2 linked regions of the Danio rerio genome follow. The protein of the gene in region 1 purifies or fractionates together with the protein of each later gene. This does not show direct contact. Links are inferred from orthologs where the notes say so. Each region holds a gene or a part of one and is shown in the gene's direction. Other genes may lie near its edges.

What was found. Proteins that work in one complex are often made in the same cells at the same time.
Region 2: the proteins of pim1 (region 1) and edc3 purify together in Homo sapiens (affinity purification with mass spectrometry; 3 studies listed by BioGRID and IntAct, counting the BioPlex papers as one, with this or other methods). This does not show direct contact. The link is inferred for Danio rerio from reciprocal best matches to the Homo sapiens genes PIM1 and EDC3.

What each region holds. Positions count from the first base shown.
Region 1 is NC_133183.1:11,870,944-11,875,142, forward strand, and holds the start of pim1 (serine/threonine-protein kinase pim-1), read left to right. Parts: upstream 1-1,314; 5' UTR 1,315-1,545; coding exon 1,546-1,618; intron 1,619-1,789; coding exon 1,790-1,896; intron 1,897-2,040; coding exon 2,041-2,091; intron 2,092-2,196; coding exon 2,197-2,563; intron 2,564-3,363; coding exon 3,364-3,540; intron 3,541-3,627; coding exon 3,628-3,815; 3' UTR 3,816-4,199. UniProt on the Homo sapiens protein: Proto-oncogene with serine/threonine kinase activity involved in cell survival and cell proliferation and thus providing a selective advantage in tumorigenesis.
Region 2 is NC_133200.1:21,946,990-21,951,121, reverse strand, and holds the start of edc3 (enhancer of mRNA-decapping protein 3), read left to right. Parts: upstream 1-1,282; 5' UTR 1,283-1,393; intron 1,394-1,625; 5' UTR 1,626-1,634; coding exon 1,635-1,798; intron 1,799-4,132. UniProt on the Homo sapiens protein: Binds single-stranded RNA. Involved in the process of mRNA degradation and in the positive regulation of mRNA decapping. May play a role in spermiogenesis and oogenesis.

The sequences.
Region 1 (4,199 bases):
TCAAAACTGACAGGTTCATAAATAACTGTGTGTCCGTGGTGTCTGACCAGTCAGTAAAGATGCATATAGTGACCATAAAACAGGTGTAATATAGGTTTACATTTACTTTGTTTATGTTTAGGCCTTTTACCAAAAGGGCGGGGAAAATACATTAGACGGGGAGAGCAAGTGGCATTCAAACAATAATCTGGGCGGGAAAGCGAGGACAAGAGACGTGGGGGAAGGGACTTGAAGTCTTTTATCTCAAGTTTCCCACATCCTGCCGCCGAGTTTAAAACCGGCCACCCAATTTGAAAGAATGCCTGGTATGCGCCTCATTTCCATAGCGACCGGCATTGTTCTCAGTTTAAATAAAGCCTGTTGCCCGCCAATTGGAGAAAAAAAAACTTTGCGCGCTAATTTGAGATTAATGAGGTAATGCAGTGCATGCGGTCTCCGTATACACTTTGAAGACCTACTTCACATGACTGAAACAAAACAAACAAAACACTTGTCTTGATGTTTCGTGAGAAGGTAAACGTGGGTTGTAGTAACGCTGCAGAATTCTCTTAACTTTGTTACCTTTCATCATTTGCATGAAGACGAGCTGCAAACACGTTGATTTTGCATCATAATTTCTGCACAAGAAATTATTATTTTTTATAAAGATATATAAAACTTATGATTTGCACTATAAATCCACCTGACGACAAGGATGTAAATAATTGTTATATTACTTATTCATTTACTTATTGTTTAGTGTTGTTCTTTACTGAAACTGCAGCATATATATAATGTAAATGCTCTGAATTCAATATAATTTTATGATTAAATAAAATGTAAAGATTTTCCATCAGATATAATAAATACTTACATTTGCGACATTTTAATGTATATCCTATGATGTGTGGATCTATTTTTGTAATAGGCTGTACTCTTCTCACTTCTCTGAATTAATGTTTTGAATCTGCGTCAGGTTTTTCGTGTCGTCGATGTTGTTTAATACACACTGCCATGTGAATCATTTTCCATGTCTGCCCCCACGCCGGTTGAACGCCCTCAAAAAAGCCTGGACAATTTGGCGCGTTTTGATTCCCGCCACGTCTACGTTTTCCTTTATTTTCATATTTGATTGACCTTTTTCTGCGGAGGCTGGCGCATTACTCATTGGCTGAGGCTTGTTTGTGGGACGAGCTATTGCTGACGTACTCACCTTCACCCCTCCCTTTTACTACTGGTATATAACGGCTTCTGCCCCTCCCTCACGCTTTAGAAAGCCGGGTGTTTGTGTTCGTCGCGCACCTCAGACAAATAATATTTATCTTCGTGCTATTAATCGTTTGTTTATATTGTAAGTTTTATATTCCAAACTGGAATAGACCTCGCGCGGCCGTCTTAAGTTCGTGTTGGGAATCCAAACCCGCCGTGCCTCGATGAGAAGGGATTTCTACAAGCTTCTAGATCGGATCCCTCGCTTAGACCTTCCCTACATCCATCTCAACACGACGGCTTTCGACCTCCACATTGGAATAACCCTCACGAAGGACTCGCATTTTGGATTATAACATGCTTCTATCAAAATTCAACACATTTGCTCACATTTCAACCGTGGACATGCCGGCGAAAATCCAGCTTCAAGGTTAGAGGACGGTTATTCTCGTGCTCATTTGTGTGTGTGTTTGTGTGTGTTGGGCGCTCGTTCACGTCAGCAGACAGTGCTGGGAATAGCGCGTGCGTCAGATTTGCAATTATTATATAATTCTGTGGCTTTTATCCATTCTTATGAAACTATCAAATGTTTTATCGACAGTTAAGGAGAAAGAGCCCTTCGACAAAGTGTATCAAGTCGGCACAGTGCTTGGAAGCGGTGGTTTCGGGACGGTGTATGCGGGTTTACGGATCGCCGATGGCGCGCCGGTAGGTTCCCTCAATGGAGGATTTTTGTTTACATAAGCGTGGACGTCTAGAATGAATATAAAACGTCTTTGTAACATATTTAAACATTCTATATGCAGCATCGCTTCATTGTTTAATGATTTGTTTATTATTATTTTTTTCTAGGTTGCCATCAAGCATGTTGCAAAAGATCGTGTGACCGAATGGGGAGAACTGGTGAGTAATTTAAATAGATTATCTTCATGTTATGTGTATGTGTAAATGTCGCCTATAAATAATAAATGACAGCGTCAGTTAAACGAGCATGTCCTCCGTTTCCAGCCCAATGGCGCGCGCGTCCCTATGGAGATCGTCCTGTTAAAGAAGGTCGGGACCGGATTCCGTGGCGTGATCAAAATGCTGGACTGGTACGAGCGACCGGACAGCTTCATAATCGTCATGGAAAGACCGGAGGTCGTCAAGGACCTGTTTGATTTCATCACGGAGAAGGGCGCGTTACCGGAGGAGCTGGCCAGGAACTTTTTCCGCCAGGTTCTGGAAGCGGTGCGTCACTGCCACAACAGCGGCGTCGTTCACCGCGACATCAAAGACGAGAACATTCTCATCGACCTGCGAACCGGCGATCTGAAGCTCATCGACTTCGGATCAGGAGCATTGCTGAAAGACACCGTTTACACTGATTTCGACGGTAAGAGCCATTTGCATGACCTTCAAGGTGGGATTCCCACGGTCACGGAATTAGAGGGTTGGGGAGTGTAACGTCAAATACAGGCTTGCCTGCTCTCATGTAAATACTGTATACATGTTTAAATGTATAAAAATGTATACAAATATCAAAATACATCGAGTGCGAGGTTTGTAAACAAAACACATCCACGCTAAAATGGTTTAATCCATGTTGTAAGTTGTAAATTCGATGGCGCTTGATGGTTGTTTGATTTAGAAATTCTGTCAAGCTTGAAAGGGTGTGTGTTTATATGTAGAAGCGTTTTAAACCACATATATTAAGCAAATCTGCCGTTTCTCATTTTAGAAATGCGTATCTTGACCCCCTTTTGTCGTTCACAACCCTTGTCAAGCTTAATAAATCGACCAACGTGATGATTTGTTTATTTTTTTGTATAACGTTGCTTTGGGGGGAAACGCAGTTCGTTGAGTTTGGTTTTGTCGCCCCCTCCGGTGGGAACTGGAGTTGTTACAACTCAAAGTTTGTAAACACAAGTCACATGGCAACCAGTTTTCTCCACATGCACACACCTACCCTCACGCTCCCAAGCGCATGACTGTACACAGTAATGTTGCGCCACAACAATAATGTTCAAACATGGCACACCTTTTCCTGCCGCACCTCTTACTACAGTGTTTGGTTACTTTAGTGGATCCTAAAATGAAAGGTTATATGAGGGTTTGTTTGTTTCAAAGTTCACATGAGGGTTTGTTTCTGATTATATGCTTATGTGTTGTACTTTTTTGTTGTTCTCCCATCAGGCACTCGTGTTTACAGTCCTCCAGAGTGGATCAAATTTCACCGCTACCACGGTCGATCCGCCACTGTTTGGTCTCTCGGCATTCTGCTGTACGATATGGTCTGCGGGGACATCCCCTTTGAGCAGGACGAAGAGATCGTGCGAGGACAGGTGCTGTTCAGGAGGAGAATCTCCACAGGTGAGACACACTCAATCACACGGCGCCACCTTTAAGCAGTTTTATGGCTTTACAGCAGAGCTAATCAAACATCCTGTTCTTTTACAGAATGTCAGCAGCTTATCAAGTGGTGCCTGGCCCTCCGCCCTGCTGATCGGCCGTCTTTTGAGGACATCATCAACCACGATTGGATGCAGAGCACTGCGCCCCCTACGGACAGCACTGAGATCAGGCTGCACAGCATCAGCCACGAGCATCAGCCCGCTGCTTTCCCAGCAGTCACCGTGTGCAAATGACTCTGTCTGAGCGCGTACATAGAGACTTTCCATTACAGCAGCAAACCACCCAGGGGACCTGCGGACTGAGCAAAACGTTTTGTTCCAAGTATCGCTGCTAGGTGGGAGTTCTAGGCTAGGCCAAAAAAAAAAGGGAGAAGGTCACCTTTTAGTGTGATCTGTTATCTCTGCTCGCCTGTGGCTCCGGGTCCCACTAGTCTGGCTCAGAGGATCCAGATTGAACGCCCAGTGTAGGGAGGAGCCGGGGAACACCCAAAACAGCGACTGTGAACAGAAGAAGCTGTGATCTGTCAGGGTTGTTCCGTTAGGACGCAGATCAGCCGAGCTTAATAATTTTAGTGCCTTCTGTGCAAGATCAAGGGTTTTGTTTGTTCGTTTGATTTT
Region 2 (4,132 bases), on another chromosome or scaffold:
CAGAGGTGCAGTAGGTAGTGCTGACGCCTCACAGCAAGAAAGTCGCTGATTCGAGCCTCGGCTGGGTCAGTTGCCGTTTCTGTGTGGAGTTTGCATGTTCCCCCTGCGTTCGCGTGGGTTTCCTCCGGGTGCTCCGGTTTCCACCACAATCCAAAGACGTGCGGTACAGGTGAATTCGGTAGGCTAAATTGTCCATAGTGTATGAGTGTGTGTGAATGAGTGTGTGTGGATGTTTCCCAGAGATGGGTTGCGGCTGAAAGGGCATCCGCTGTGTAAAAACGTGCTGGATAAGTTGGCGGTTCATTCCGCTGTGGCGACCCCGGATTGATGAGGGGACTAGGTCGAAAAGAAAATTAATTCTTAAACAAGATTATTTGACATTTTTGTATTTGTGTATACACAGATTTTCAGCATTATGATCTCAATACACCCGTTGACATCTAGTAGAGTAGAAATTACATTTTATGCAAAACAATTTTAACAAAAATCAAAAAACTAAATCTCAAGCGTATCTTGCTATTTTAATTCTATTTTTAGTATTTATTCAAATTTAAATTAGTTTTTTTAAAGTAACATTCTCAGGGCACTGCATGAGTTACACTCTCAGGGCTGGGTTGCGGCAGCAAGAGTAAAACATATGCCAGAGTAATTGGTGGTTCATTCCGCTGTGGCAAATAAAGAAACAAGGAAAGTGAGTGAGTGACAACCTTTTTTAAAAATCAGTTTAAAAAAATGTAGTCCCCATGAACCAGAAGCTACGATTTAAGCTTTTTTTTGTAATGTGACGTAGTTCCTAGAGAAACGGGATAAAAATGACAAATTACGATTTTTTTTTCTTAATGACATGCACAGATGAATTGTTCACCGCAAAACTAGCAATGTGAGCTGATAAAATCATTTGATAAGTTTTAATTTCACGGGGATTTAAATTTCTTAATGAACACAACCATAATAATATATAAATGTGTTATTTTAGAATGTAAAAATATTCTGAGAGAAATAACTGCAAGTTATAAATTGTTAAAAATAATCCAGTGTTGGGTTGCAGCTGGAAGGGCATTCGCTGCATGAAGCATATGCTGAATAAGTAGGTGGTTTATTCCGCTGTGGCGACCCCAGATTAATAAGGGGACCAAGAAAAGAAACAAAAATGAATGAATAATAATCATTTAACAGTTTCAAAAAAATAAATATCTGCCTTCTTTAGCAACTCAATGTAGTTCGGCGGTTGCCCAGTAAGCGGCAGTAAATACAGATTCAAATCTGATCCTCACTCAGTCAACTTTCATAGAAGAAGCCGATCGCGTAGTCGAGCTCTTTAGAAGAGTTTATCCAAATCTATCACAGTACACAACTTATCCGTATAATTGAAAGGTTTTGCCCTTGAAAACAGGTGAGAAACTCACTTTACAATTTTTATAAAACCGAAAAATTAGCTTATAAGCCCGTTGCGTGCTGTACATGTAGCTGGCTAACGTTAGCATATTCCTTTCTAACGTTCAATACTTATTCTTCCAAAACATTCTTCGTATTCATGCTTCAGACGCCCAATAACGCTTCAAGAGTTACCTGTATATTTAAAACCATCATGACAACTAACAAAGCGTCTTTGAATCTCATTTCAGCTGGTCAAAATGGCATTAGACTGGGTTGGCAATCTTGTTTCAATCCATTGTGGACCAACTCTAGGAGTCTACCAAGGGGAGATTTCTTCAGTGGATCAGACCAGTCAGACCATCTCTCTCAGAAACCCCTTCCACAATGGAGTCAAATGCACTGTGCCTGAGGTTACCTTCAGGTAAATTATAAAAGAGAGCTGTGTTATTATGTCTTTTATCATTTTTACTGATGTTTTTAGGATGGATACTTTCGTCTCATTTGTCTTAAGCCACACTTGTGTGGTATTTTGAAATCCCTTTATGTAATTTGAGTTGTAGAATTTTGTTAATGTTTGTTAGATTTTTGTTAATGAATATATAAGAATCATTTATTCAACCTCTCTTTTTTTCTAAACCTGCATAAGTTCCCTTTTTCTGTTAAACACAAATTAAGTTAATTTGAAAATAATAATAATGTGGTCGTTATTGACTTATAGCAGAGGGAAACTTTGGAAGTCAGTGTTAACCAATCATTTTGGAAGTGAAAAGTTAAAAAGAAGTCAAAAAGCCTCGTTATGCTATTTAAAAATATTACAAAACCTTTCCTTTTTTATGAATTAGTGGTGTGAATAGACGCTTACTTCCGGAGATGGGAAGTAACAAAGTACAAATACATTCGTTACTGTACTTAAGTAGATTTTTCTGATATCAGTACTTTACTCCACTACATGTTTTTTCTGACAACTTTTTACTTTTACTTCTTACATTTTTTTACACAGATATCTGTTTAAAAATGCTTAACCCTTTTGTCACCTTCCGATCATATTGCACAGGATTTCTCTGGTCTTTTATTGTAATACAGGGAAATATTGTGATTTTTTTGTAAAGATTTGTACATTTAGTACTTAAACAATCAAACACTTTATTAAAAAAAAACTTATGCATTTGTTTCCTTTATTTACTTTATAAAAACACTGAATTAACAGGTTATGTATGAGAACTACTTTTTAAAGAGAATAAAGCAGCTTTAGCCTAATGGAAAAAAATTGTTTGCAGTCAAATATGATGAGCCTTGTGTATATATATATATATATATATATATATATATATATATATATATATATATATATATATATATAGGACAGAATACTGTGTAAAATGTAATTATTTATAAAGATATACAGACCTACAGAATTATTTTAGAGTGTATGAACATAAATAGCAGCTGTTGTTTTTGATCTAACAGCCACAAAAGTACATGATGAACGCTGTGAATTTGAGTCAGGATGATCATACATGAGCAGACTTTTAGAGCAATGTTGTTGCAAAGTATAGGGTATATGCCGAAGCATGCTAATAGGACTTTGAATTTGCCAGTAACCTGAGTTAAACGCTTCCGGTCAACTGTACATGCCGGCCGATTCTGATGGGCACGTACGAGTAAACGGCTTTTTGTCTCGTTTTAAGCTTGATCAACTAAAAGAATGCCAAAGTTTATTTAACTGAATGTATTTTAATTACATTACATCATCAATGCTGTAAAAGGAACCATATACGTTGGGAAAAAAAAAATTACAATAACAGGTCACCTTAAGTTTATCAGTATAATAAAAACACCAGCTCGGCACATACCCTATTACAGGGTGTGATGCTGCTTTCATAAAATTGCCAACAAAAATTTTACATAAGAATTAGAAATGTAAGTTAGTTTATTAATGTATCGATAGGATGTGAGGACTAATTGCTTTTTATGGTACTTACTATCCTTAAACTTAGTTGCTGAATTATACAGGGTCGCCACAGCGGAATGAACCACCAATTATTCCAGCATATGTTTTACACAGTGGATACCCTTCCAGCGGCAACCCAGCACTGAGAAACTTATACATTACTGCCAGTTTAGTTACCTATTATTCACCTATACCGCATGTCATTGGACTGTGGTTGAAACGGGTACTTTTTACTTTTTTGCTTTTGTAAATTTTTGAGGCGCTACTTTTTTACTTTTACTTGATTACAAAAGTGTAGTCAGTACTTCTACTTTTTAAAAAATTGTACAAAAGCACGCACATCCCTCTTAACTGGGTGCTCAGCCAAAAAAACGCAAAAGGTGCAAATTAAATATTAATAAAAGGCGGCAACACCAAATCTCCAAAAATACTAATTTATTCAATTAAAAAAAGCTGACAGAAAGCATGTAAAAGGTTAAAGCCTGGATTGGTTTTTCTTTACAGAAACAAATCCTCCTTTACACATTCCTCAAAGCAGCTCAAATTAACAGTATTACCAATTCTGGATTATGGGGATGTAATTTACAGATGAGCTTCAAAAACTCTTCTTCTTAAACTGAATGTTATTTACTATGCAGCAAATAGTTTTGTTACTCTTGCGCCATTTAATATTCATCACTGTCAGCTGTATTCTTTACTGAATTATTCTTTGCTTCAAATTTAACAAATTCATTGGTTTCTGTTAATTTTCAAAACTCTTATTGGGAAAAACACCACTATATTTATTTACAGTCACTTCTTAAA